2 linked regions of the Xenopus tropicalis genome follow. The protein of the gene in region 1 purifies or fractionates together with the protein of each later gene. This does not show direct contact. Links are inferred from orthologs where the notes say so. Each region holds a gene or a part of one and is shown on either strand. Other genes may lie near its edges. The genes, in order: hip1r and picalm.

Region 1 (12,683 bases):
ACCTTTATGCCACTTGTTATGTTTCATACCAAAAGTTGCACTTGAAAGAATTATAACGGGCTAACATGGTAAAAATCATTTACCTGAAACTTTATTATTATTTATTTCATAAACTTTTTATTTAAGGTTGCAGATTAGCATGTAGATTTTCACATAAAAACACAGGATAACAGCAACTTGATGAGAACTAATTAGACTACTATTAAAGCTATGGTTTTATTGAAATTGTCCTCAATTGCACACTCCACTTAAGCGAGATAACAGCACAAGGTGTGTGGATCAACCTATGCAAAACTGGCAGGTTTTAAGTTTTCCAGTTGATTTGCAAAATCCTTCTTATAATTACTATTAGCAAATCATATATCAATAACCATTGTCTTTTGTAACCACAGTGATACACACTACCTACCTCCTCAGTACTTGATAGAGATTGCTGGATAAGTAATAACTCTTTTTTCTTTGCTTCAATTTCTGATTTCAGTTGTTCAGTCTGAAAACTTTGGTCCTCCAACTGGATTTAAAAACAGGCAAATGAAAGAAAACATTATCTGCATGATTATTTGTTTCTCGAAATCTGGCAGAAAATATGTGCATTGCACTTAATATACGAGATGAATAAGGACCGGTTTTAACCGATCTATGTAATTAGAAAGAAAAGAGCTTTTATTGGCTCGTGTATGGACACCTTTTGGTTAGAAATGTTACACTTTTTTTGATTTAGGCTTCTGTACCAGTTCATAGCCACCACAGCCATTTAGCAATGTAAATAGGAAAATGAGGTATTTTTCTAAAATGTAAAACATAGGCAGAATGTAATTTCAAGTCCTATACAGGTATTGGACCCCTTATCCGGAAACCCATTATCCAGAAATTCCGAATTACAGAAAGGCCATCTCCCATAGACTGCATTTTAATCAAATAATTCACATTTTTAAAATGATTTCATTTTTCTCTGTAATAATAAAAAAGAACCTTGTACTTGATCCCAACTAAGATATAATTAATCCTTATTGGAGGCAAAACAATTCTATTGGGTTTAATTACTGTTTAAATAATGGTTTTAGCCGACTTTACTTCGGAGATCCGAAGTACGGAAAGACCCCTTATCCGGAAAACCCCAGGTCCCAAAGCATTTTGGAAAATGGGTCCCATACCTGTATATAGTGCTCATTTTTACAAAGGTGTTTTAGGTGTATGCTTGGGTTACAAAGCTGGTTGCCTTCTATGTATTTGTTCTGTAATAAACGTTCAAGAGTATATATCTAAGATAGCTTAAATCACATTATTAACTAGAAAGCCACTTTAAATAACCTTCAAATCTGATTCTCGTTTCACTTGATCCATCTGAAATTCCAGCTCTTCTTTGATACGTGCCACCTCTTCCTGATTTTGTTGTGACACTGTTAACTGTTTTGCTGTATCAGCATTCTGTACAAAAAAAAAAATAAAATAAAAGATGGAAGCTTGTTTTGAAGTCCTTTAACAATAAAGTAAATGTTTATACTCCTTACATACATTAATGTTAAATTAACTTTACACCACCTTTTCAAATATCCACAATTTATTTAAATAAGTGAAATAAATAGGATCAATGCAGTGTTAATGCTCATGATTAGCTCAAGTGTTTGCATTCAGTTGTGTAATTCACAGCTCTATAGGATAAAAAGGCAATTTACTAATGTTGACCATCAAATTCACCCAGTTTTCAGTGGAAATTTAGTAAAACACTTCAGGGAGTTACAATGACTAAAAACATAATTATAAGGAATAAATAAATCCTATTTACACAATGATAATCAGGCAAATGAGAATTAAACAGATTAAAATGTATTAAAACATTTCTGAAGGAGTAGTTACAACTCAGTAAGCAATTTATTTTTATAACCAACAGAAAACTTTTCAAACAAGCATCAGTTGTGCCTTTTTGGAGTTTTTAATCAAATTACATTAATAAATAAAAATTATCTTTGTTATTTCCAAATTCACAAGTTACAAAAGGAGACAAAGAACAAATCTGATATAAAATAAAATTAGCTACCTTTCTAAGAAGTCCAGCGTGGGTATTAATGAGCTCATTGTGCTTTTCTTTCAGTTTGGTATAGCGTAACTCTGTGGCTTGTATCTTCTCTACCAAAACACAATTGAATGTATAATTTAGAAGTTCTGCATATTTTTAAAAAAAACCTGCCCACAATTGGCACACACATATTTAGTTCTTTATACATTTCAGTTAAAGAACACCTAAAGGTGGCCATACACGCTAAGATCTGCTCGCTTGGCGAGGTTACCAAGCGACCAGATCTTTTACCGATATCCCCACCTACAGGTGGGCGATATGGGGTTGATTTGGTCGTTTGGTCCTAGAACCAACGGGTATAGGCACCTGTTGGTTTGGGGACCACATCAACGAGCCAATGCGGTCCCCGAACCAAAATCAAACCTGCTCAATCGAGATCTGGCTGATTCGATTGAAGGAACCAATAACGGCCGCTAGAATCGACCCATGTATGGTCACCCTTAGCCGAATACCTACTCTCTGCTTCCAGGAGGACCCCTTGTGTTTTCTCATTTTCCAGTTTCTGTTTCTTTAGCTTCTCCAACTCATCCCGCAACTGTTCATTATCTACTAAAGCCTTTTGTTTCTGCTTCCTCTGTTCCTCTAGCTCAGCCTCCAATGTGTTGATTTGTCCTTTTAGTTGCAAGATGTACTTTTGTGCCTAATGAACATAAAAAAGAAAAGTTTGCTAAGATAAACATTTTTAGTATCTTAAATAAAATGCACATTTTATGGAGACAATTATCAAGCACAGCAAAAGACATGTGCCTTACAAAGTAAGGATACTGTACATAGGCACTGCATACCAAGCTTATTGAAGCTTATACTTAAAGGAACAGTAACACCAAAAAAATAAAAGTGTTTTAAAGTAATTAAAATATAATGTACCGTTGCCCTGCGCTGGTAAAACTGGTAAGTTTGCAACAGAAATGCTACTATAGTTTATATAAATGAGCTGCTATGTCAACACGGGGGCAGCCATTGAAGCTGGGAAAAAGGAGAAAAGGCACAGGCACATATCAGATAACAGATAAGCTTTGTAGAATATAATGGGGTTTATCTGTTATCTGCTAAGTAACCTGTGCCTTTTCTCCTGTAAATGGCTGCCCCCGTGGCTACACAGAAGCTTTATTATATAAACTATAGTAGTCTTTCTAAGGAAAACACACCAGTTGTACCAGTGCAGGGCAGCATTACATTATATAGTAATTACTTTTATACACTTTCATTTTTTGGTGTTACTGTCCCTTTAAGAAAAGCAAAATAAAAATATATCCGTTGTAGTATTGTTGTTGTTGTAGTATTATAATTATATCTCTATGAGCTAAAAAGTACTGAACAATTTACTAATATTCTAATTCTAGCATTAGCATACTAATTAAAGGATAGTCTCACCTCCAGCTTTATTTTCTCTAGTTCAGCACGTAGTAATTCTATTTCCTTTTGCAGATTTTCAATTTGAAGATCCCTAAACATAATAAAGAGATTATTGCAATACACAAAGAAAGCACAAAATAAAAATCCATTTTACAACAAGGAAAATTATGCAAACACAGCCAACTAGGTCCTTAATATGCAATATATGTAATAAAGAGAAGGAGAAGTCATTTAAAAACTTATAGGGCAGTGCTGACTTTTTCTACACAATAAGCCAACTATCTAATATGCAATATATTGCAGACCAGACTAAAATAAGGTTATACTATAAAAAAGTCTGTTGGGGTATAAAAATGCCTTGAACGGTCATATCCAGAACACAGGCTTCCAGCTGGACTGATGTAGGGCAACACAGCTGAAAATATGAAAAATATGAAGTATAATATTTAAATCAGGCTAAACAGTTCTATCCTAAAAAAAAAAAAAAAGAATAAACAAGCAGATTACGCCAGCGTGTAAATCTTTTTCCACTATGAAATGTTTAATTATAATTGTAACTTTTTAAAAATGCTAGTGTTATCTCTTGTATTTTTGATTAATTAATTTACATTAATTTAACAGTTATAACCCCTTGTATCAAAATGATAAACACTGTAAAATGTAAAAGATTTTTTTTTTACCTGTCATCTTTCATAAGACCATTAGGAGCACCAAAGGTTTGCTGAAATAAGTCTTCCACAACCTAACAGAAAGAAAAAAAACTGCAGTATATTGCAACGGTCAACGTGCCAAAGGTCAAAATCTGGTAATATAATATGATATAATTTAATCAGATATCAAAACTAAAGGTAAAAAGTTAAATTGTGCCGTACAATTTTTGTTTTTGTCTCCATTTTTATATATCAGTGTTTTGACCCTCATTGGGGTCTTTATCAAGAGGGTTATAAAAGATCAAAATGAAGTTTTAAAAGTTCTTTTGCAAAGTCCCTTGAGCGCAACAGCTTCTTTTTGAAATACAGTTTGTGTTGGCACCAGGGCTGTTTCCCCTTTTAAGGTGTGTGCAGCTGTCCCACATCTACTGTCATACGGTCCTGCTCCGCTATATACTCGTCATTCAGTTACTAGCTGTAATAATAAAACATAGCTTGCACTTGATCCCAATTAAGATATAATTAATCCTGGTTTTTTTTTTGTTTGTTTTTTTAGAAGACTTATGGTATGGAGATCCAAATTACAGAAAGACCCTTTTATCCAGAAAACCTCAGGTCCCAAGCATTATACATAACGGAACCCATTCCTGTACTGGGTTAGTGAGGTCATGCTTAAACAATTTGGCACTAAAACTTATGCTAGGGTATTTAGAGGCACCTTGAAAAAGGTCTGAATATGTAACCAAAATGTTGATTCTAAAATAATAAAGGCATTTGTTATTTTGAAGCATGTCCTGTGAGTGCTACGTAAATTATGTGGATGTACACACAAACACCAGTGATGTGCAAGTCAACTAATTGTCAACCTGCCCCCGATCCTAACCTGCCCACTCAAAACCCACACCCAACCTAGCCTGCAGGTCTGCATCCATTTATATACGAGCGCCTGACCTGTCCTATCTCTGATGTTACTGAGGAGGCGGAGTGCACCTATAGATAGATGCCCCTGGATGCGGAAGCGGGGCCCAGTTAGGTCACAGGCAGGGAGGGCAAACCTGAATATGTTGTGCTCGTGTTGGGCCAAATTTTTTTTCCTGTGGGGGGTTTACCCGGTCTGCACAATACTATTACACACACATTATATTATATGTATGAGATCCCTTGTCCAGAAACAGAAAGGCCATCTTCCATAGAGTCCACTATAAGCAAATCTAATTTAAAAAAAAAAAAAAAAAAAAAAAAAAATTTCCTTTTTGCTCTTTAATAAGAAAACAGTACTTTGTACGTGATCCTGACTACAATACAAAAATCCATATTGGTTGGGTTTATTTCACATCTAAATGTAAGCAGACTTAGCAAATAATGGAAAGACTACTTACTCTGAAAATCTTAGGTCCCAAGCATTTCAGATAATAGATCCTATACTTGTTTATATATTATAAACCTGTGCAGTATAGTAGTGATGTGCGGGCTGCACAATATTGTCAGGTCATGGGAGGTTCAAGCTGAGCTCTACTTCAACCCACCCCACACGCAACTCTGCACTGCTTGACTTCTGAAAACCTCTATTTCTAGATGGCATGCCTGCCCCATCCCACCCCTCTTTGTGGTGTCAGAGATGGGCGGGTCAGGCGCAGGTCTATAAATAGTGGTCCACTGTCAGACAGGGTTTGGGTTGGGAGCGGGTGGGTTAGGGTCGATTGCAGTTCGACCCCGTACAAGTGGGACACAAGGGATACCTGGGAAAATAGGGAAAGATGGTGGCGTGGCACTTAGAGAGAACCCTGGGCTAGTAATTTTTTCCCCCTGAAGAGAAAAAAAATTAGTGAATTAAATTTAGTACCCCCTAATGTAATAGGCTTTATTTAGATTTTATTTTGGATATATTACAACAGTGCTTAAAAACAATCATGTAATAAAAAGGAAACTACATGTTATTTTTTTTTTTTTTTAAGTTTAAAAGAAATAGTTGAGGGATGTGTTGTATTCAAACAAGTGGCTCTTACAGGTAAACATTAAAAATATACAGTACTGTACAAAATTCTCAAACACTCCAGATCACAAAAATATTTCTCATACATGTGTTCTGTGTGTCTTGGGTCAATGTGTTAATGTAAACAGCAATAAATAGAGAAAAGACACATGCAATAGTCATTGGTATTACTACAGCCTTATGCCTGCTTTTGGTATTAGTTGTTTAAAAAAAACTGCCTGAACCCCCACTGTTAATAAAATACAGTTATCTCTCATTCTACAGCCTTAAATCACAGTCAGTTTTGGCATAATCAAGAATGTCATTTAATTCAAGGTATAAGATGTATTTGGCAAGATAATTGTCCTGGCAGTGAGCAATGATGGAGTTATTGGGGAGTGTATTGTATTTCAAAATAATAGAAAGAATTCAGTTACCTGCTCCTGCTCCACAGGCTGAGCTGCGCTGATCTCAATCAATGATTCTGCTGGCTCCTCATCTTCTGGAGTTTCATTGGGGATAACAACCACTGGTTTAACATGCTCTGCAAGGGCAGAGGCTCGCAAAAAGTTGGGTGGACCCTGATTTAAAAAAACACAAACATAGTTATGTCAATTTATGCAGACTAGTAAGCTAGCTTGCTTCTATATGTAATAAAAAAAAAAGTCCACTGTTGAAGTCACGACGATCAGTAAAACTTACATCAGGAAGACGGGGAATCTGAATGAGCCGCTTGAAGTACAGCATGTCTGATGCCCGTTTGAAGAAGTTTTTTAAACTGGAAAATATAATAACCCATAATATGCACTGTAATTCATTTTTTTTTTTTTTATACAGGTATAGGACCGGTTATTTAGAATGCTCGGGACCTGGAGTTTTCCAGGTAAGGGGATCTTTTTACAATTTGGATGTTCATTCCTAAAGTCTACTGAAAAATCTTTTAAGTATTAATTAAACCCAATAGGATCATTTGCCTCCAGTAAAGATGAATTATATCTTAGTTGGCATCAAGTACAAGGTACTGTTTTATTATTACGGAGAAAAGGGAAATCATTTTTAAAAATCAAGAATTTTTTTTGCTTATAATGGATAGTATGGGAGATGGCCTTCCCATAATTCACAACTTTCTGGATAAAGGGTTTCCAGATAATAGATCCTATACCTGTATGTACTTTCAAATTTACTTACATACCTATGAAATTGTTCATGAAATCGGTCTCTATGTCCCTGTAGAGTATCAGGAGGCAGACCTAGATTTAAGAGTAGAATAAATAATACATAAGGTATATCTTTGAATAAAGATTAAAAAACTGTTCAATATATAAACAGGTCAATGTATTTGTATATAAAATAAGTATTTAAACCCTGCGATTTTGCAAGTTCTCCCACTTAGAAATCATGGAGGGGTCTGAAATTCACATTGTAGGTGCATTCCCACTGTGAGAGGCAGCATTTAAAAAAAAATTCAGGTAATAACATTGTATGATTTTTAAAGAATTTATTTGTATTGCACTGCTGCAAATAAGGAGATTTTGTGATACTCACTGTTAAATCCTTTTCTCTCAGGATGTCTGTGGGACACAGGGACCTTGGGGTATAGTATCTACCAGCAGGAGTCAGGACACTAGAGAGGAAGAAGAGTGCGCAAGCCCCTCCCCTCCCTGCTACTATACCCCCCTTGGCTTCCTGCCATCCTCAGATAACGAAAAACGGAAATTACTATATACAACTAGGCAGATAGCATTCCATGTTGGCCGCTTCCAGGGGGGGAAGCCCTGTGTCCCACCGACATCCTGAGAGAAAAGGATTTAACGATGAGTATCACAAAATCTCCTTTTCTCTTGCAGGTGTCTGTGGGACACAGGGACCTTGGGGACATACCAAAGCTGTCCCATTGTCTAACGGGTGGGCAGAAGCGGAACAATTGGTGCCTTATAAGACTGCGGCCTGTAGTACTTTTCTACCGAAGTGAGTGTCAGATGCTGCAAACACCTCGAAGCTGTAGAATTTGGTGAAGGAGTGAATGGATGACCAGGTTGCTGCTTTACAGACCTGATCGGCTGAGGCTCTATTTCTGAGGGCCCAGGAAGCGCCCATGCCCCTGGTAGAATGAGTCGTGATCCTCGGAGGTGGCATTCTGCCCCGAGCAATGTAAGCCCTGCGGATAGCTTCCCTGATCCAGCGTGAAACGGTGGATTTAGAAGCCTGGAGACCCTTCCACGATCCCGTGGGGATCACCAACAGGGAAGAAGTAGATCTGATTTCTTTGGTACGGTGCAGGTAGAATTTGAGAGCCCTGACCGGGTCTAAGGAGTGCAGTGCCACTTGCTTGGGAGACTTCGGTCGAGGACAAAAGGAGGGGATGGTAATGTCCTGGTTAATGTGGAATGAAGAGACTACCTTCGGAGTGAAGGAAGGAAGAGTCCGCAGGACTGCATGGTCCTGATGAAATATCAGATAGGGCGGCTGACAGGATAGAGCACTAAGTTCGGACACTCTACGGGCTGAGGAAATGGGCAGTAGAAAAGTAGTCTTCCAAAGGGAGGTGATTGTAGGGCTGAAAGAACCAGGTTGAGGTCCCATGGAGGTAGGGGATCTCGAAATGGAGGGTGTTAGTGAGCTACCCCTTGAAGGAAGGTGACCACGTCAGGCAGAGACGCCAGGCGTTGCTGAAAAAGCACGGAGAGTGCCGATATCTGAGACTTAAGGGAGCCCAAGGAGAGACCCTTGTCCGACCCTGATTGCAGGAAGGAGAGAAGTCGAGACATGGAGAAGTCCTGGAGCGGATCCCGTGAGGTCGTCACTGAGGAGATGTTGCGCGGTAGGAAGGAGAGAGGAGAGTGAAAAGGGCACAAAGGAAGCTCGCCAAGAGGAGCAGTGAATATCGCGTGAGCTGGAGAAAGGGCCACGCGTTCCCTTAGGTGTTTGGAACGCAAGCGGTGGAAGGCATGGGAAAATAGAAACGGTATCGCTGAAAACGGCCAGGCAGGACTAGGGAGGGAGTCGTGCACCTACATATAGCTATGGGCAGTACTGACCAGGCAATGGAGGTGATGTAGGCAGGTTCTGGACAGCTTCTGTACTCCTTTTAGAAGGAGCCAGGGTATCTGTGTGGCCGTTCAAAAGTGTGGCTGGCCCCAGTGCCTAATGTGCCACAGAGGGGGAAGCCTGAACAGGAAACTCCTAGTGGAGGTCCTAAGGTCGACCCCTTGTGCCAGACTGAGTCTGGCCGAAGAACAAGTCAGTGAGAGTAAAGGTCCTGTCTCCTTGAGGGACACTAGAGAAAAAACTGAGGATGGCAGGAAGCCAAGGGGGGTATAGTAGCAGGGAGGGGAGGGGCTTGCGCACTCTTCTTCCTCTCTAGTGTCCTGACTCCTGCTGGTAGATACTATACCCCAAGGTCACTGTGTCCCACAGACACCTGCAAGAGAAAAGTATTTGAACACCTGAGAAAATCAGTGTTAATATTTGGTACAGAAGTGGGAGAACTTGCAGAATCACAGGGTGTTTAAATACTTATGTTCCTCACTGTACATAATAGAATAAAGGTGCATACAGTCCAATTGTAATGTTAAAACCCACACACATTTATATAAAGAATGGATGCCCATTGCCATTACTACAGTCCCACCTCATATCCAGGAACATTTTAGCAACTCACAAAGGCAATTCTGCTTGAAGTGAAGGGAATAGGTGCATATATTGAAATATATCTACAATATAGTCATATACTGGTGAGTGGCCAATACAGCCATAAAGCATTTTTTTGACAATTTCTTATTTGACTTAAACTTTTAATAATCACAATTTTTACTACAAACCTATTAATGGAGGTGATATTAAAAGATGCTTTGTGCACCAGAGAAGCTTTTTGGTGCTTCCTTTTTATTGGTTGACTGTCAGGCTTTCATTGATTCTGTCTGTATTTTACTGGATGGATGCCAACAAAATGGACTGCAAAGGGACACCTAAACCCAAAAAGTCTGAAGACCTCTAGTCTAAGCATTCCACTGACTGGAATGAACAGCAATTTCCAACTTTTACCTAGTAACATTTGCTAGCCACTCTTATTTCTGCTGCAGATTGCCTTGTACATTTAGCTGAAACATAAATATAAGTTAACAATTCCTCTCACATTTAACAAATAGTTTTTTTTTTCATTACACCAATTAAACGCATTAAATGAAGTTCAATTAATGATTCAGAGTTTTGCTAAATATTATTATAGCAGAAGGAATACTCACATGAATGGAGTTTAAACATCAGCTTAACAGTGTAATGGTAGAGATGGCTGCAATCCTGAATGACTTGAATAAGAGGGGCCAGCTTACACTGTCCTGCTGCCATCTGAGATACAGCGATTGAACTATTAAGCTGCCTGAAAACTAACAAAAAAAAGATGTATATTACAACATATTCTGTTCTGTAATCTATTCATTTGCTACACATTTTTCTTGTGTATCCCCCCCAATGGGGTAACCAGTATTATATATACCATCTATTCTGTAATTGTGATGCAGTCCACTATGTAGCATAGTTTCCAGTCACACACTGCACATATACTCTAGCAATAGGCCCCACCAACTCCTTTGGCATACTGTAACATGTAGCCTTTCCCCCCTGCAGCCATAGTGAATGGCACACAGAAAATCTCCTTAACCTATTGTGTTTTAATTTCTGGTTCTCTTTGATCAATGCATTCTGCATGTTGCCAGTAAACATGCGGCTTAAAAAAAAAAACATATTGTATTTTTAACTGCTTTAAAGGAGAAGGAAAGGCTAATAAAGAGTTAATCTCAAGCTGCAGGCATACCTTCAGTTCTTTCAATAGTGCCCTTAAGTCTCCCCATATTTTTCCCATTCAGATGAGCTCTGTAAAGACCAGTGAACATGCTCAATGTGTAAGACTATGAGGAAGCTTCCTGCTGATTGGCTCAAATCACACATTCCTAAGGGGGGGGGGGTGAGTTCTTAGCATTCTTGATGGAGGGGGGAGCAGGAGAAGGGAGAGAGCTGCCTGTCTCTGGCACAGGAAAAAGTGTCAAAAGAAACAGGATTTGCTGTCTGGGAAGTCAGTGCAGCGTTTCTGTGAGTGCTTATGGCTGTATTTACATATACCTTTCTGATAAAGCTTACTTAGTTTTTACCTTTCCTTCTCCTTTAATAATATATTCATCATATTCTCCCTTAACCTTTTTTCCACTAATTTACACAGTAGAATTATTGTGGTATAACTTCAAAATCATTGTCTGAATTGTAAATGTATGTCTTTTTTTTTCTTGCCTGCATTAGTTTGAGTTGCGATGTGTAAAAGATTGCTGCTTTACATTGTGGATTTTTAGAATAAATCTGTCATGTGATGACTTCTGGTCACAACGCCCAATTGCCCTATACAAAGACTTGCAGCATCAGCAGAAAATACAATACCTTGTCTAAACAATTTTTTTTGAGGATTTAGAAAAAAATTAAACTTATTCAGAAGGCAACATTTTTTGGGAAAAAAAGTCTGTACTGCCGCTAGAATAACTGAACCAGATCTTTTACCTACCAGCTTCAGCAAGCTTCAGTTCACAATCCATATAATCGAACATTTCCACTGTAAGCTGAAATCTAAAACGAATTAGAAAAAGGAAATACAAACACCTGGTAACTTTGCAGTAAAAAAAGATTTGTTTAAGTATGTAAAATGAAAGACAAGAATACTAACACATTATGCAATACTAATGATATGTTTGAGGCAGTAAATACCAGCGTACATGTTGTTGACATCTGTGCCAGCGGATTTCTCAAGAACATCATCAGTCACTTCCAAGCCCGGTGGAAATTCTGGGTGCTTGGGAAAAAATATGCCACAAGTAAATAGACAAAATACATTGCAAAGACTAAGTAGGAAATTAAATGTGTGTGTAGGAGTATGAATACATAAAACCTTACCTTTACATGAAAGCTTATTTTATTAAGCAAAAGCTTTGTATAAATATTCACAAGCTGCCCATAACGATCATGCATATGACCCTATAGGAAAAAGAATGAACATACAGAAATGTGCAGCTTTTACCTTTGCAACAGTGACAATGTTGATAAATCCTTTTAGCTAAGCACACACAACTTAGTGTAGATTGACACCATTTTATTATTTATTTCTTAGAGTTGTTCAAATATGTAACTATTTAAGAGTTCATGAACCAAACATTTTACTATAGCTATAACCAACACTCATGCTGTGAGTTGCTGACAGATATCACCAGCTCTTAAGCTGACCATAAACATACATATTGTTCAAAACAAAGTTTCTTTGGATTCAGCTGTTACTTTCCCGTTTCCCTAGTTTATACTCACCCACAGCTCTCCTGTTTCTCGAATGTTACTGCGGTATCGCTGACAATCTGACAGCACCTACAATTCAACTGAGCAGTTAGAAGACTAACATATTAAAACAAAACATATACTATGGCAATAAAGGAACGCACACAATAAAAAACCCTTATGACAGTAACTTCAAAGTTGAATGTGTGTAAATACATATAGCTTCCCTTATTCCCCTTGTTTAAACCTTTGTTCAAAACGGTGCAATGCAGCATGATAAAATAAAACAATCCCCTAATTTGGACAGTTGATCTTTTTATTA
Region 2 (12,683 bases), on another chromosome or scaffold:
AACTTTTTTTCTTTTCTTATAGCGTTTTATCCAGTATCTGGCATCAAGGAATACACTGTTTAACTTAAGCAATTTCCTGGACAAAAGTGGGCTGCAAGGTAGGTCTCTCCTTACATTCTGCTGCTGTTCATGGGTAAAGGTGGCCATACACGCTAAGATCCGCTTGCATGGTGAGGTCGCCAAGTGAGTAGATCTTCTCCCGATATCCCCACCTACGGGTGGGCGATATTGGGCTAATTCGGTCATTTGGGCCTGGGGCCAAACAATAGAATTAGACACGATAGGTATAGGCGTATAAGCTGATGCGGTCCCCGATCCGACTAAATCTTTTAACCTGCCCGATAAATATCTGCCCAATTTCAGGCCATATATCGGTCGGGCAGGCCCGTTGGTAGTGCCCATACACGGGCCGATAAGCTGCTGAATTAGTCTAAGGGACCCATATGGGCAGCTAAAATCGGCCTGTGTATGGGCACCATGGAGAAAAGGGGAGGGGGAGTATTTCAGTGCCACATTAGGGATGCACCGAGTCAAGGATTTGGTTTGGGATTTGGCTAGGATTTCACTTTTCAGCAGTGCCTGGCCAATCCGAATCCATCAAATCATGTGACTTTGCGTCACATGAACGTGGAAGTTGAACATTTGCAAATTCAGATTCGGTGCATCTCTATGCCACATACATTTGTTTAAGGGTTAAGACACATGGAGCTACTAGTAGCAGCTACTTTTTCACGGCTACTAAGGGCAGTGGCAGACGGGGATATTAGTCGGCCCGCAATTCCATCCCACCAGCAGGAATGTAAATCGCATGGGATGGCATACGCATCAGTACGATTATCCTTGAGGGGAAACTTTAGGAGACTTTGGCAAATCATAGCGAAGCTTATGCCATCCCACCGCGATTTACATTCTTGCCGGTAGGATGGCATTGCGGGGAGAATAGTTGCCTGCGGCAAGGAAGATTTGTCACGTGGCGACTAGTCTCCCCATCTGCCACTGCCCTAAATGCCAGAAAATACCCTGCCTTAGGCCTGTGGCACACAGGGAGATTAGTCGCGGGCGACAAATCTCCCTGATATGACATCCCACCGGCGAGAATGGCGGGATGGAATACGCGATGCCGAAATAGCGGAAGTTTCCTCTCGAGGCAACTTCGGCAATATCGGCAAATCGCCGGCGCCGCGTATGCCATCCCACCTGCGACTTACATTCTCGCCGGTGGGATGTCATATCGGGAAGAATAGTCGCCAGCGACAAGGGAGATTAGTTGCTTTAGAGTGTCTTCACTCTAAAGGTTATAAAGGCCACTGTGCATGGGGGGACTGGTACCTTTAGCAACATTAATAATCTATATTTTAACCAGGGTTGGAACGTAAACGCCAAAGATTGCCTTCCACTGCCCTTTATAAGAATTTTCTGAAAGTCTTCATGCCAGAAACATCTGGGAATTCTGGACTGTGTCCTAAGGCTACTAAGGAAAAAGTAGGCAGCCCAAGGCAGGCAGTGAAAGGGCTTCGCAATCCTTACACTAGTGCTTAGTACAGAGCAGTACCCATGTTGTACCCAGTAATAACATCTTTTGCTACATGCTCTGACGCGAGATATCCCTTCTATAGTGGCTTTATAGTGAGCCATAGAGAGAGATACTCAAGATATGTCCCACTTTTGCATCTTTATAGTATTATAACACAGTAGGAGGGCTATGGTAGGTGATAGGGCAGCCAGCCTGGGACAGTGTCTGATTGGGCAGGGCTAAAACTACAAGCCGAGCCAGTAAATCAGGGCAGAATAAGCAATGGGATAATTAATGGATCTTGAGGAATAAGAGAGCCTGTTTTATTCAGTGTTTTAATGTAATATATTACAAATACATTTTAAATTGATTCACACACAGAGTGTTTATCTGGCTCTGTTTATAATAGGAACAATCCCATTTCCCTGAAATCCTTGTCTGTCCTGCTTAGTGCTCTGTAGGGTATCCACAGAACTGGCTGTTGGGAAGATCTGCTGGAACAGAGATGGGAGGCAATTGTTTAGATCCTCCATGCATTTTTATGTGACCCCCGGGGGCCTTATATAGAGGCTAGAGCCCAGGCAGTACTATATATTGTGCTGAGCAGCGGGCAGAGTATGAATGGTTGTTTAATTAAGCATCAAAATAAACTCAATTCAGCTGCAGTTACGGAGTGTTACTGAGGTGTTAATGGGTTTTCCCTTGAGATTATTCCCAGTTCTGTGGAGTTGCCATTGTAATATTGATTTGCTATTTTCTGTCAGTACTCTCTTCCATTGCAGTTATAAATGGGCAGGATGTTTAACCCATTAACCACTCTGCGGTTTAACTATGTACATGATTAGTGTTACCTGCAATTAGCAGTCAGGAAACCATAAAGCTAAATGGCTTTCTGTTATCTGAAATAGATAATATTCACATGCTATCAGCTGAGAAGCAGAAAATCCCTTGGGTATAATGTATGGGATCAGGAGACCTCTTATCCAGAAAGTTCCCTAATATATAAAGTTTCCCATCATTTTCCCATGCTGTATAATTCTTTGATTTGACTGATTCTTTATCTCTAAAACAGTACATATAAACTGAACTTGATATTACGATAGCATAAATCTACGTAGGAGGCGTAACATTCCTCTGAATTATCGACCTGATACTTTTCATACCATAGCGATTGGTCGTTGAGTCAATCGAACAGAACATTTTGGTCGGATAACGATATCTGCCCATTTGTGATGTGCAGGGTCAAGATTTTCTCAACGCACACTTGACCTTAAACCGGCTAGTCCCCTCTATTTATAGACCCGCGCCTGACCCACCCACTGCTGATGTCACAAAAGGGGAGGGGCAGGGGCGGCATGCACCTATAAATAAGAGAGCCGGAACTGGGAAGCTGACAGTGTTGAAGGAGATTTTTGTTGATCAGTCATTTGCACTTCATCTGGAGATGCCTCCTTGTTTATACTCTGAGATATCTGCATAACACGTCGCCAGTGGGGAGAGCAAGTAGAACCAAAACCACCCGCAACCCGGAAATCTTGTGCAGAGGCAAACCTACGGAAGTTGGGCCGGCCCCCACATCACTACTGCACATGTATTGTGTATCTGACAATATCCATGGGGGACCTACAGTGCATTTCTGGGGCATGACTTTTCATACAATTGTTGCCTGGGGATTATCCAATGGCCAAAACCTGGTCTGATTTTTTTATTTTTATGACTTATATATTATAAATTGATATCCTACAATTTCAGGCTGAATGTTAGTGCTCACTCCATGCATCTAGCAGTGGTTGGGTCCCTGCCACAAGTAATGGCAGCCGAATACCATGCCTTTTACAGGTGCAGGGATCTTTCCTTAAGCAAATAAAGTGCATTTCTTGCATAATAACTGCAAGTGATCACATGATGCAACTGTCCGTCCCGTACCAAATAAAGTTGTGTATTTTGAACAGTTATAGTGAGCAGTCCTCTCAATCAGCCCTTAATTTTTTTTTTTATATATAATATATAGAATGTGAATTATTGTTACTGATAACAATATACAATAATACTGTGTGCCGTACACTAAATACAGGGCTTCTCTTCCCCTAGGATACGACATGTCTACGTTTATTAGGCGATACAGTCGGTACTTGAATGAAAAGGCAGTTTCCTACAGACAAGTTGCTTTTGATTTCACCAAAGTAAAAAGAGGGTAAGGATTTTATTATTATTTCCGTTACCTTTTTACCTATGTGTAACTTGAATCCATGCTGTGATAGTTTAGTATATGGATACCCTGTGCTGTAAGAGAGATAAAACCATTTAAAGTGACAGTAACACTACAGTTGGCCTGCAGTGCCGGTGGAACATAGGGATTCAGGTTGCTAGTACTTTATGGAAGTATGTATGTATGTGTGTATATGTTTATTTATAAAGTGCTACTTATGTACCCAGCGCTGTACAGTAGAATACATTAAGACAAACAGGGGGTTATTAAGATAATAATAGATAAATACAAAGTATAACTATAAATACAAATAAATACAAGATACAGTTGCAATAAGTTAAGAGTCAAAGACACAAGAGGAAGGAGGTCCCTGCCCCGTAGAGCTTACAATCTATATGGGAGGGTAACTTACAGACACAAATAGGCAAATATAAGTGCTGTAGGTCACAGTGGGTGCCCAGCAATCCCATTGCCTTAAGGGTGAAGGCACACAGAGCTACTAGTGGCAGCTACTTGTCATGGCTACCAAAACAGAGAATGCTGATCATTTTACTGATAATTGTCTCTACGTGTGTTTAGCAGAGGCAATTCTCAGTATTGTCTATGGCAGGGGATTTTCTGGAGTTTAGTAACTGTGACAAGTAGCTGCTACTTAGTAGCTCTGTGTGTCTTCACCTTAAAGGGGTTATTCATCTTTCAGTTAACTTTTTGTATGACACAGACATTGAGATTCTGAGACAAGTTGCAAAACATTTTCTTTTTTGTGGTTTTTCATTTGGAATTTCAGCAGCTATCTGGCTGCTAGGGTCATGTTTACCTTAACAACCAGGCATTGGTTTGAACGAGAGACTGGAATAGGAGAGATACTGAATATAAAGATAAGCAATTAGAAATAACAATAATAGAAGAACATTCTGAGCTCACAGGCAAAGGTTTTGTGAGCTTGTATGCATGATTGTAATTAAGCTTCATCCGTCCATATTGGGTTTTTAGCCTTCCGGATAATAGATCCCATAAAGCATTGCTTTCATAGAATTGTGTAGTTTGGGAAGTGGTTGATACAGGACCCCCCTATATTTTAATATTGACCAAAAAGACCATCATTATATTGGGCCTTGAAATTTCATTGTATCAGAAAATTTAGACTGATGGTTTTAAATTTTTTTTTCCTTCCAGGACTGATGGAGTGATGAGGACAATGAGTACAGAAAAGCTACTAAAGACAATGCCCATTATACAGAACCAAATGGACGCGCTGCTTGATTTCAATGTAAGTATTTTACTCATTTGTCTCAAGGTCCCCGGGTCCTCCATACATCTGCTCAGTCCCCTATGGGACCTGGTATTTATTCTACTGTCTGATGTTGTTCCCTTACCCGGCCTGGTGAATAGGTACACTGAGTGCCTGCACACACACCGTTTATTTATGTAACATCCTGATTCTTAACCTTGGATACCCAGATGTTTCTGGACTGCATCTCTAAGCACTTTGTAAAGGAACACTCTCATGGGAAAACATTTTTTCAAAACCCATCAGTTAATAGAGCTTCCCCAGCAGAATCCTGCATTGTAATCTGTTTTTCCCATGGGGCTGATATCCCCCCCTCACCCCCAGCAGCCGATCAGCAGAACAATGGGAAGGGAGCAAGATAGCAGCTCCCAGTAGGTATCAGAATAGCACTCAATAGTAAGAAATCCAAGTCCGGCTTGGGACTCCTCCAGTTACATGGGAGTAGGAGAAACAATAGGTTAGCTGAAAGCAGTTCTAATGTGTAGCGCTGGCTCTTTCTGAAAGCTCAGACTCAGGCACACTTTACTGCTGCGCTGCAAGTTGGAGTGATATCCCCCCCCCCCCCCTCATTCCCAGCAGCCGATCAGCAGAACAATGGGAAGGGAGCAAGATAGCAGCTCCCAGTAGGTATCAGAATAGCACTCAATAGTAAGAAATCCAAGTCCGGCTTGGGACTCCTCCAGTTACATGGGAGTAGGAGAAACAATAGGTTAGCTGAAAGCAGTTCTAATGTGTAGCGCTGGCTGAAAGCTCAGACTCAGGCACACTTTACTGCTGCGCTGCAAGTTGGAGTGATATCCCCCCCCCCCCCCCCTCATTCCCAGCAGCCGATCAGCAGAACAATGGGAAGGGAGCAAGATAGCAGCTCCCAGTAGGTATCAGAATAGCACTCAATAGTAAGAAATCCAAGTCCGGCTTGGGACTCCTCCAGTTACATGGGAGTAGGAGAAACAATAGGTTAGCTGAAAGCAGTTCTAATGTGTAGCGCTGGCTGAAAGCTCAGACTCAGGCACACTTTACTGCTGCGCTGCAAGTTGGAGTGATATCTCACCCCCTCACCCCCAGCAGCCGATCAGCAGAACAATGGGAAGGGAGCAAGATAGCAGCTCCCAGTAGGTATCAGAATAGCACTCAATAGTAAGAAATCCAAGTCCGGCTTGGGACTCCTCCAGTTACATGGGAGTAGGAGAAACAATAGGTTAGCTGAAAGCAGTTCTAATGTGTAGCGCTGGCTGAAAGCTCAGACTCAGGCACAATGCACTGAGATGGCGCCTACACACCAATATTACAGCTACAAATACATTTGTTGGTTCAAGAATAAAGGGTTAAATGGCAAAGGGAATTATTTGCTGTGTAACAGTGTCATTTAGAAATAAATAGTGCCCCATAAATATCATGACAGTGTCACTTTAACATACTGAAAAATGGTATTTAAAACCTGCCCGGTAGATACCTGGCACAATTCATGGACCAATAAGCTGCAGACTGCATGGAGAAGCCAAGCCAACAGCTTTTATTGGCCCACTTTAACATTGGATTTGCAGATTAGCTTTTATTTATTATGCCGGTGCCTCATGTAATTTTTTTTTGTTTGTTTACAAAAACCTTTTGATTGTAATCAGTGAGACGTGGCCTCCCCCAGGAGCAGCTCCTACTCCATAGACTGGTGGCTTTATTAATGTGGTTACAGTGCAGAGATAACAGGAGACAGACTCTATTAAGTAGGAAAATAACAGCTCTTTCAACTTACACCTGAACGGATCCTGTCCTTACTTTGTGTTCCTTATTGTACATTTCCACTCAGTGCCAATGAAAAGCCAAGGTAATGTTACTGCAATCTCTTGCTTTGGTGCAAGGCACCCAGGGGAGTCTGAGCAGCGACACCCACCCATACTGGGAGCTGCCTAATAACCCCCCCAGCTACAGTCAAATGGCCGGTCAGCCTGTGAGTGCAAGCCTGCTGGCCGAGTCCGAGCTGCACCCCCTGGGGAATACACAGCTTGCTAGAAGGGGGGCCCCTGGGGTGATATTGTGGCGTTCCTCGAAGGAAAAAGATCTTAGTTTTTAGGTTTCGAATTCAGTTCGGTATTCGGACCAATCCTTCAGGGTGGGTTCAGGAGTTCGGCTAAACCAAAAAAGGTGTTCGGTGCATCCCTAATTGTGTCCCCCATATACAAAGGGATACCCCATAGGGCTTTGTCTCGCAACCTTCTCCAGACGCTGCTGTGGAACTACTTTCTAGTCTTGTGTCTCGTTTGCTCCAGTAACAGCTCATTGGTGCGCGGGTAAGAAGGAGATTGCTGAACTGCAAGGCTTCAAATGCAATGTCAATATAGGCCCCATTTAAGGGAATTTACCTTTAATTTAACTTTAATATGCTAGAGTGACCAATACCGAGCAACTTTTCAATAGGTCTTCATTATTTATTTATTTCAGTTTTTTTCAATTATTTGCCGTCACCTTCTGATTCTTTCCACATTTCAAATTTGGGTCACTGACCCCGGCAGCCAAAAAACGATTGCTCTGTGAGGCTCCAGTTTTATTGTTACTTTTTATTACTTACCTTTCTACTCAGCCCTCTCCTATTCATATACCAGTCACTCTCTCAAGCCACTCCCTGGTTACTAAGGTAATTTGCACCCTAGCAACCCAATAGCTGTTACATCTCCAAACTGGAGAGTTGTTGAACAATAATTGAAATAATTAAAAAAAAAAAAAAAAAAAACTACAAATAATAAAAAATGAAGACCAATTGCAAATTGCCTGAGAATATTACTCTGTACATCATACTAACAGATGACACGGTGCCTTCATGCATTTCCTTGTTCTGTCCCTCTAGGTTAATGCCAACGAGCTGACAAACGGGGTAATTAATGCTGCCTTTATGCTCCTCTTCAAAGATGCCATACGACTGTTTGCTGCATACAATGAAGGGATAATTAATTTGTTAGGTGAGTATGAGTAACGTGTGGGTGCTGTATGCATCTTGGGTTTCATCGTTTAAAGGGGAACTTAAGCCAAACACAACTTATACATATACAGCAGTTAAAAATATGCAGCCTTTTAATGATGATTAATGTAGAGATGCACTGAATAATGAATCCAGTATTTAGTTCGGTTCAAACTGAAATCATGTGACTTTTGGTCATGTAAACACGGAACTTGAACTTTTTTTGCACGCACAACAAAATTTAACCCTTCCAGAAGGATTCGGAGGTTCGGCGGGATCCAAAAAATTCAATGCATCCCTAGTTTAATGTAATATTGTGGTTTGGAACAGTTCCCTAAGCCCCGCCCCCTGTTCCCTAAGCCCCGCCCTCTGTTCCCCTGCTGTTCTGGCTGGCTACTTTGTGACTCAAATAAAATGTAACAGTAGTCCCCTCCCCTCAGCCTGCCTCCTCCCAATCCCACAATTCCCTGCTGCACACGTGATGTCAATAAGGAAAGGAACATCCCAGTGCAATGCATTGTGGGTTATGTAGTTCCTGCATGCTGTCTGTAAGCTGTGGGGAAGTTGTTACAATCTGTAACATCAGTGGTTTAGTCCCTCCTCCCCTGCCAGGATTACAAATGATGCAGAAAGAGTAGAACAGTTTTGCAGCTGGATTTCAGCCTATAAACATGGGATTTATTCCTACTGTTTGAAGGAACAGATTACAGGGATAGGGATATTAGGGGTTTCTGTGAAATTGTTATTGTAATTGCCCCTTATTAGTGAGGTTGATGTAACGAGGCTGTTTTCTGTCTCTAGAAAAATATTTTGACATGAAGAAAAATCAGTGTAAAGAAGGCCTCGATATCTATAAGAAATTCCTGACACGGATGACCCGGATTTCCGAATTCCTGAAAGTAGCAGAGGTGAGTCTAGTAAAATTCTTGGGAAGGCTTTATTTAGTTCAATAAGTTATTTGCAGTTGGTCTTCATTTTTTTTATTTGTTTTGGTTTTTGAATTATTTAGCTTTTTACCCCAATATACAGGCAGCATTTTATTTGAGAGACTGGAATATGAAAAGAAAGATAAGGGGGCTGAAAAGAAAGATGAGGAATAAAAAGTAACAATAAAACTGGAGCCTCACAGAGCAATAGTTTTGGCTGAGGGGGTCAGTGACCCCCTATTACAAAGATCGAAAGAGAGACAAGAAAGCAAATTAGAAAATGTAAGACCGATTAAAAAAAGTTGCTAGGAGTAGGCCATTCTATAACTTACTAAGCGGTAACTTTAAGCTGCACTGCCCCTTTAAGGGAAATACTGGGAGTACTTGGCAGTAACCGGCAGTTTCCTGTGTCCCTGCGACTCATCGGGGAATCATGGCCATTGCATATGGCTGCCTGTGTTTGGCGCCCACGGCCCCGCTATTTATAAGCCTGCTATTATATTCATAATGTTCCCTATTATGGTGTGCGGCTTTCTGTGCATCGGAATGTTTGCTTTTGTATATCTTACCGGGTTTGTTTATGGGAGCAACGTTAGCAATAACCGTACAAATGGCAGACTCTGTGCCAGGCTACACTACCTGTTTATGGAAAACTAAAAAGTTGGCCGTTGCCATGGTCACCACTTGAGTATGGAGGGGAAAACGGACAAATAGCAGGTCACCTTGAAATAAACTTTGGTGCAGAGAATGCTATTCTGAGACCATTTGCAATTGGTCTTCATTTTTTATTTTTTGAATTATTTAGTGCTGCAGCGTTTAGTTTAGAATTTCAACAGCTATCTGGTTGCTGGGGTCTGGTTTAACCTAGCAACCAGCCAGTGGTTTGAAAGAGAGATAGGAATGTGAATAAAAGGGGGCCTAAATAGAAAGATAACTATTACAGAGTAACAATAACAATACAATTGTAGCCTCACAGAGCAACAGTGTTTGGCTGCCGGGGTCAGTGACCCCTATTGGAAAGCTGGAAGGCCTGAACCTGCAACAGGAACCACTGTGGCTTCACACTTGTATGTTCTTATATTTTAAACTCATTTAGTGTTGTTTGTAATTTCAGCAAGTTGGGATCGATCGAGGAGATATACCTGATCTCTCTCAGGTGAGCAACAAAAGCCTGTGTAACTGCAATTATGGGCTTGGGTGGGAGTTTGTGGGGAGCATGGGTGGGGTTTGTGGGGAGCATGGGTGGGGTTTGTGGGGAGCATGGGTGGGGTTTGTGGGGAGCATGGGTGGGGTTTGTGGGGAGCATGGGTGGGGTTTGTGGGGAGCATGGGTGGGGTTTGTGGGGAGCATGGGTGGGGTTTGTGGGGAGCATGGGTGGGACATTGGGGGGGGTTGGGGACTTATATTTGTTGGCAGGGCCCTCTACCCAGGTAACCAGAGGGTTAATCTTGACTACTTACTTAGTTGCATGGGGCCCCCTTCTTTCCTGATGGCAGCCCTGTTGATAGGTGTGTGTGTGTGATGGATGGGAGCTGCCATATTGTTTCCATTAAACCCATCACTGCACAAACACAGGAGCTGCCATGTTATTTATGCTTAGGTGTAGCAGCATGAAGAGCAAATACGGTGATTATTTGGCATTGCTCTGTGTGGATAATCTTCATATTAAAGGATTACAAAGTATAATTCCTGCTGCATATTAGTATTTATTCCTATGGGTGACGTCTGACATGCTACCAGCACCTCATATAAAGCTTTTCTTCCTTACTATATGTGCGTATGGAAAATGATTCCCCTTTATTATTATATCCTGTGTTTCCATGACTGTGCCTCTCCTTTTGGGGGTTACGGTTCAGTATATTTAGGGCTGGGATTTTCCCATGACCTTGCTATGGCCATGCTAGTACCTGTATGTTCCAAATGCTGGCAAATAAATGCCCTTTGCTGCGTGCATATCTCTCCTTATCTGCTACAGGCTGGCCCTGACTGACGAGCAGAGGGATAAAGGACTAACAAGGTTCATGGGAAAATATTTTTCTAAGAAATTTTTAGATCTGCTAATAGATTGCTAGTAAAGTGCTCCCATAATGCACTGTGTAGCCAAGCGCAGGAATGCCTTCTGGATCCCATTCTCCCTCACCAGCGGCCCGGCCAGCACATACAGAACATTTTTGGAGTATCTGCCCAAATGGCTGCTTTACAGCTGCACAGGCAGCAAATGGCGGAGCAAGTGAAGATGTTTTACCCATTAATACTGCTCTGATGTGTTTCCAGGCAGAGAGGGTCTAAACCAACACTTGTGTATTGGGCCCAAGGGAAAACCTGTATATATGTGTCCTGGAAAGCTGTTTGTATGGTCCTGAGATCTATAGAATACTGTCAGTATCCCTACAATTCCATTAAACGCACATTTAGAGCAGAATATATTGGAAGGAATTCCAGATATTTAGCAGGCAGGAGGCGGCCATTCATTCCCCACTCCTCAGCTGGAACCTCTAATCCCTAATGTTCGCTTTTGGCAGGAACTCGTAGGCTGGGATTAATTAGTGTTCACCAATCTGTTATGGAACCTCAGAAACATAGTGTGGAAGGCAAAGCTGCTGGTTGTTCAGATTGATCTATAGTCTGCCCTGTGGGTATTACCCCGTGCGCTGTATATATATAATCATATCCTTATAAACAGCATCTTCCCATGTCAGATGCTACATACAGTAGGGGTACATTATCCCTTATAATACATGAGTGATACTCAGAGTTCCCTGTATAACTCAGCCTGCAGCCTTGTGCCTTTATATGGGCACAGAACCCCTCAGTGACTGCTAATATCCTTATCATTTACAGTAGGGGGTACATTATCCCTTATAATACATGAGTGATACTCAGAGTTCCCTGTATAACTCAGCCTGCAGCCTTGTGCCTTTATATGGGGGGCACAGAACCCCTCAGTGACTGCTAATATCCTTATCATTTACAGTAGGGGGTACATTATCCCTTATAATACATGAGTGATACTCAGAGTTCCCTGTATAACTCAGCCTGCAGCCTTGTGCCTTTATATGGGGGGCACAGAACCCCTCAGTGACTGCTAATATCCTTATCATTTACAGTAGGGGGTACATTATCCCTTATAATACATGAGTGATACTCAGAGTTCCCTGTATAACTCAGCCTGCAGCCTTGTGCCTTTATATGGGCACAGAACCCCTCAGTGACTGCTAATATCCTTATCATTTACAGTAGGGGGTACATTATCCCTTATAATACATGAGTGATACTCAGAGTTCCCTGTATAACTCAGCCTGCAGCCTTGTGCCTTTATATGGGGGGCACAGAACCCCTCAGTGACTGCTAATATCCTTATCATTTACAGTAGGGGGTACATTATCCCTTATAATACATGAGTGATACTCAGAGTTCCCTGTATAACTCAGCCTGCAGCCTTGTGCCTTTATATGGGCACAGAACCCCTCAGTGACTGCTAATATCCTTATCATTTACAGTAGGGGGTACATTATCCCTTATAATACATGAGTGATACTCAGAGTTCCCTGTATAACTCAGCCTGCAGCCTTGTGCCTTTATATGGGCACAGAACCCCTCAGTGACTGCTAATATCCTTATCATTTACAGTAGGGGTACATTATCCCTTATAATACATGAGTGATACTCAGAGTTCCCTGTATAACTCAGCCTGCAGCCTTGTGCCTTTATATGGGCACAGAACCCCTCAGTGACTGCTAATATCCTTATCATTTACAGTAGGGGGTACATTATCCCTTATAATACATGAGTGA

What was found.
Region 2: the proteins of hip1r (region 1) and picalm fractionate together in Homo sapiens (co-fractionation; 3 studies listed by BioGRID and IntAct, with this or other methods). This does not show direct contact. The link is inferred for Xenopus tropicalis from reciprocal best matches to the Homo sapiens genes HIP1R and PICALM.

What each region holds. Positions count from the first base shown.
Region 1 is NC_030677.2:161,481,391-161,494,073, forward strand, and holds part of hip1r (huntingtin-interacting protein 1-related protein), read right to left. Parts: intron 12,452-12,683; coding exon 12,395-12,451; intron 12,071-12,394; coding exon 11,990-12,070; intron 11,889-11,989; coding exon 11,812-11,888; intron 11,666-11,811; coding exon 11,604-11,665; intron 10,441-11,603; coding exon 10,300-10,440; intron 7,306-10,299; coding exon 7,248-7,305; intron 6,834-7,247; coding exon 6,758-6,833; intron 6,637-6,757; coding exon 6,493-6,636; intron 4,176-6,492; coding exon 4,114-4,175; intron 3,525-4,113; coding exon 3,452-3,524; intron 2,718-3,451; coding exon 2,534-2,717; intron 2,128-2,533; coding exon 2,039-2,127; intron 1,429-2,038; coding exon 1,312-1,428; intron 512-1,311; coding exon 410-511; intron 1-409. UniProt on the Homo sapiens protein: Component of clathrin-coated pits and vesicles, that may link the endocytic machinery to the actin cytoskeleton. Binds 3-phosphoinositides (via ENTH domain).
Region 2 is NC_030678.2:171,686,427-171,699,109, reverse strand, and holds part of picalm (phosphatidylinositol-binding clathrin assembly protein), read left to right. Parts: intron 1-22; coding exon 23-98; intron 99-3,604; coding exon 3,605-3,707; intron 3,708-4,898; coding exon 4,899-4,992; intron 4,993-7,852; coding exon 7,853-7,964; intron 7,965-8,764; coding exon 8,765-8,871; intron 8,872-10,003; coding exon 10,004-10,045; intron 10,046-12,683. UniProt on the Homo sapiens protein: Cytoplasmic adapter protein that plays a critical role in clathrin-mediated endocytosis which is important in processes such as internalization of cell receptors, synaptic transmission or removal of apoptotic cells.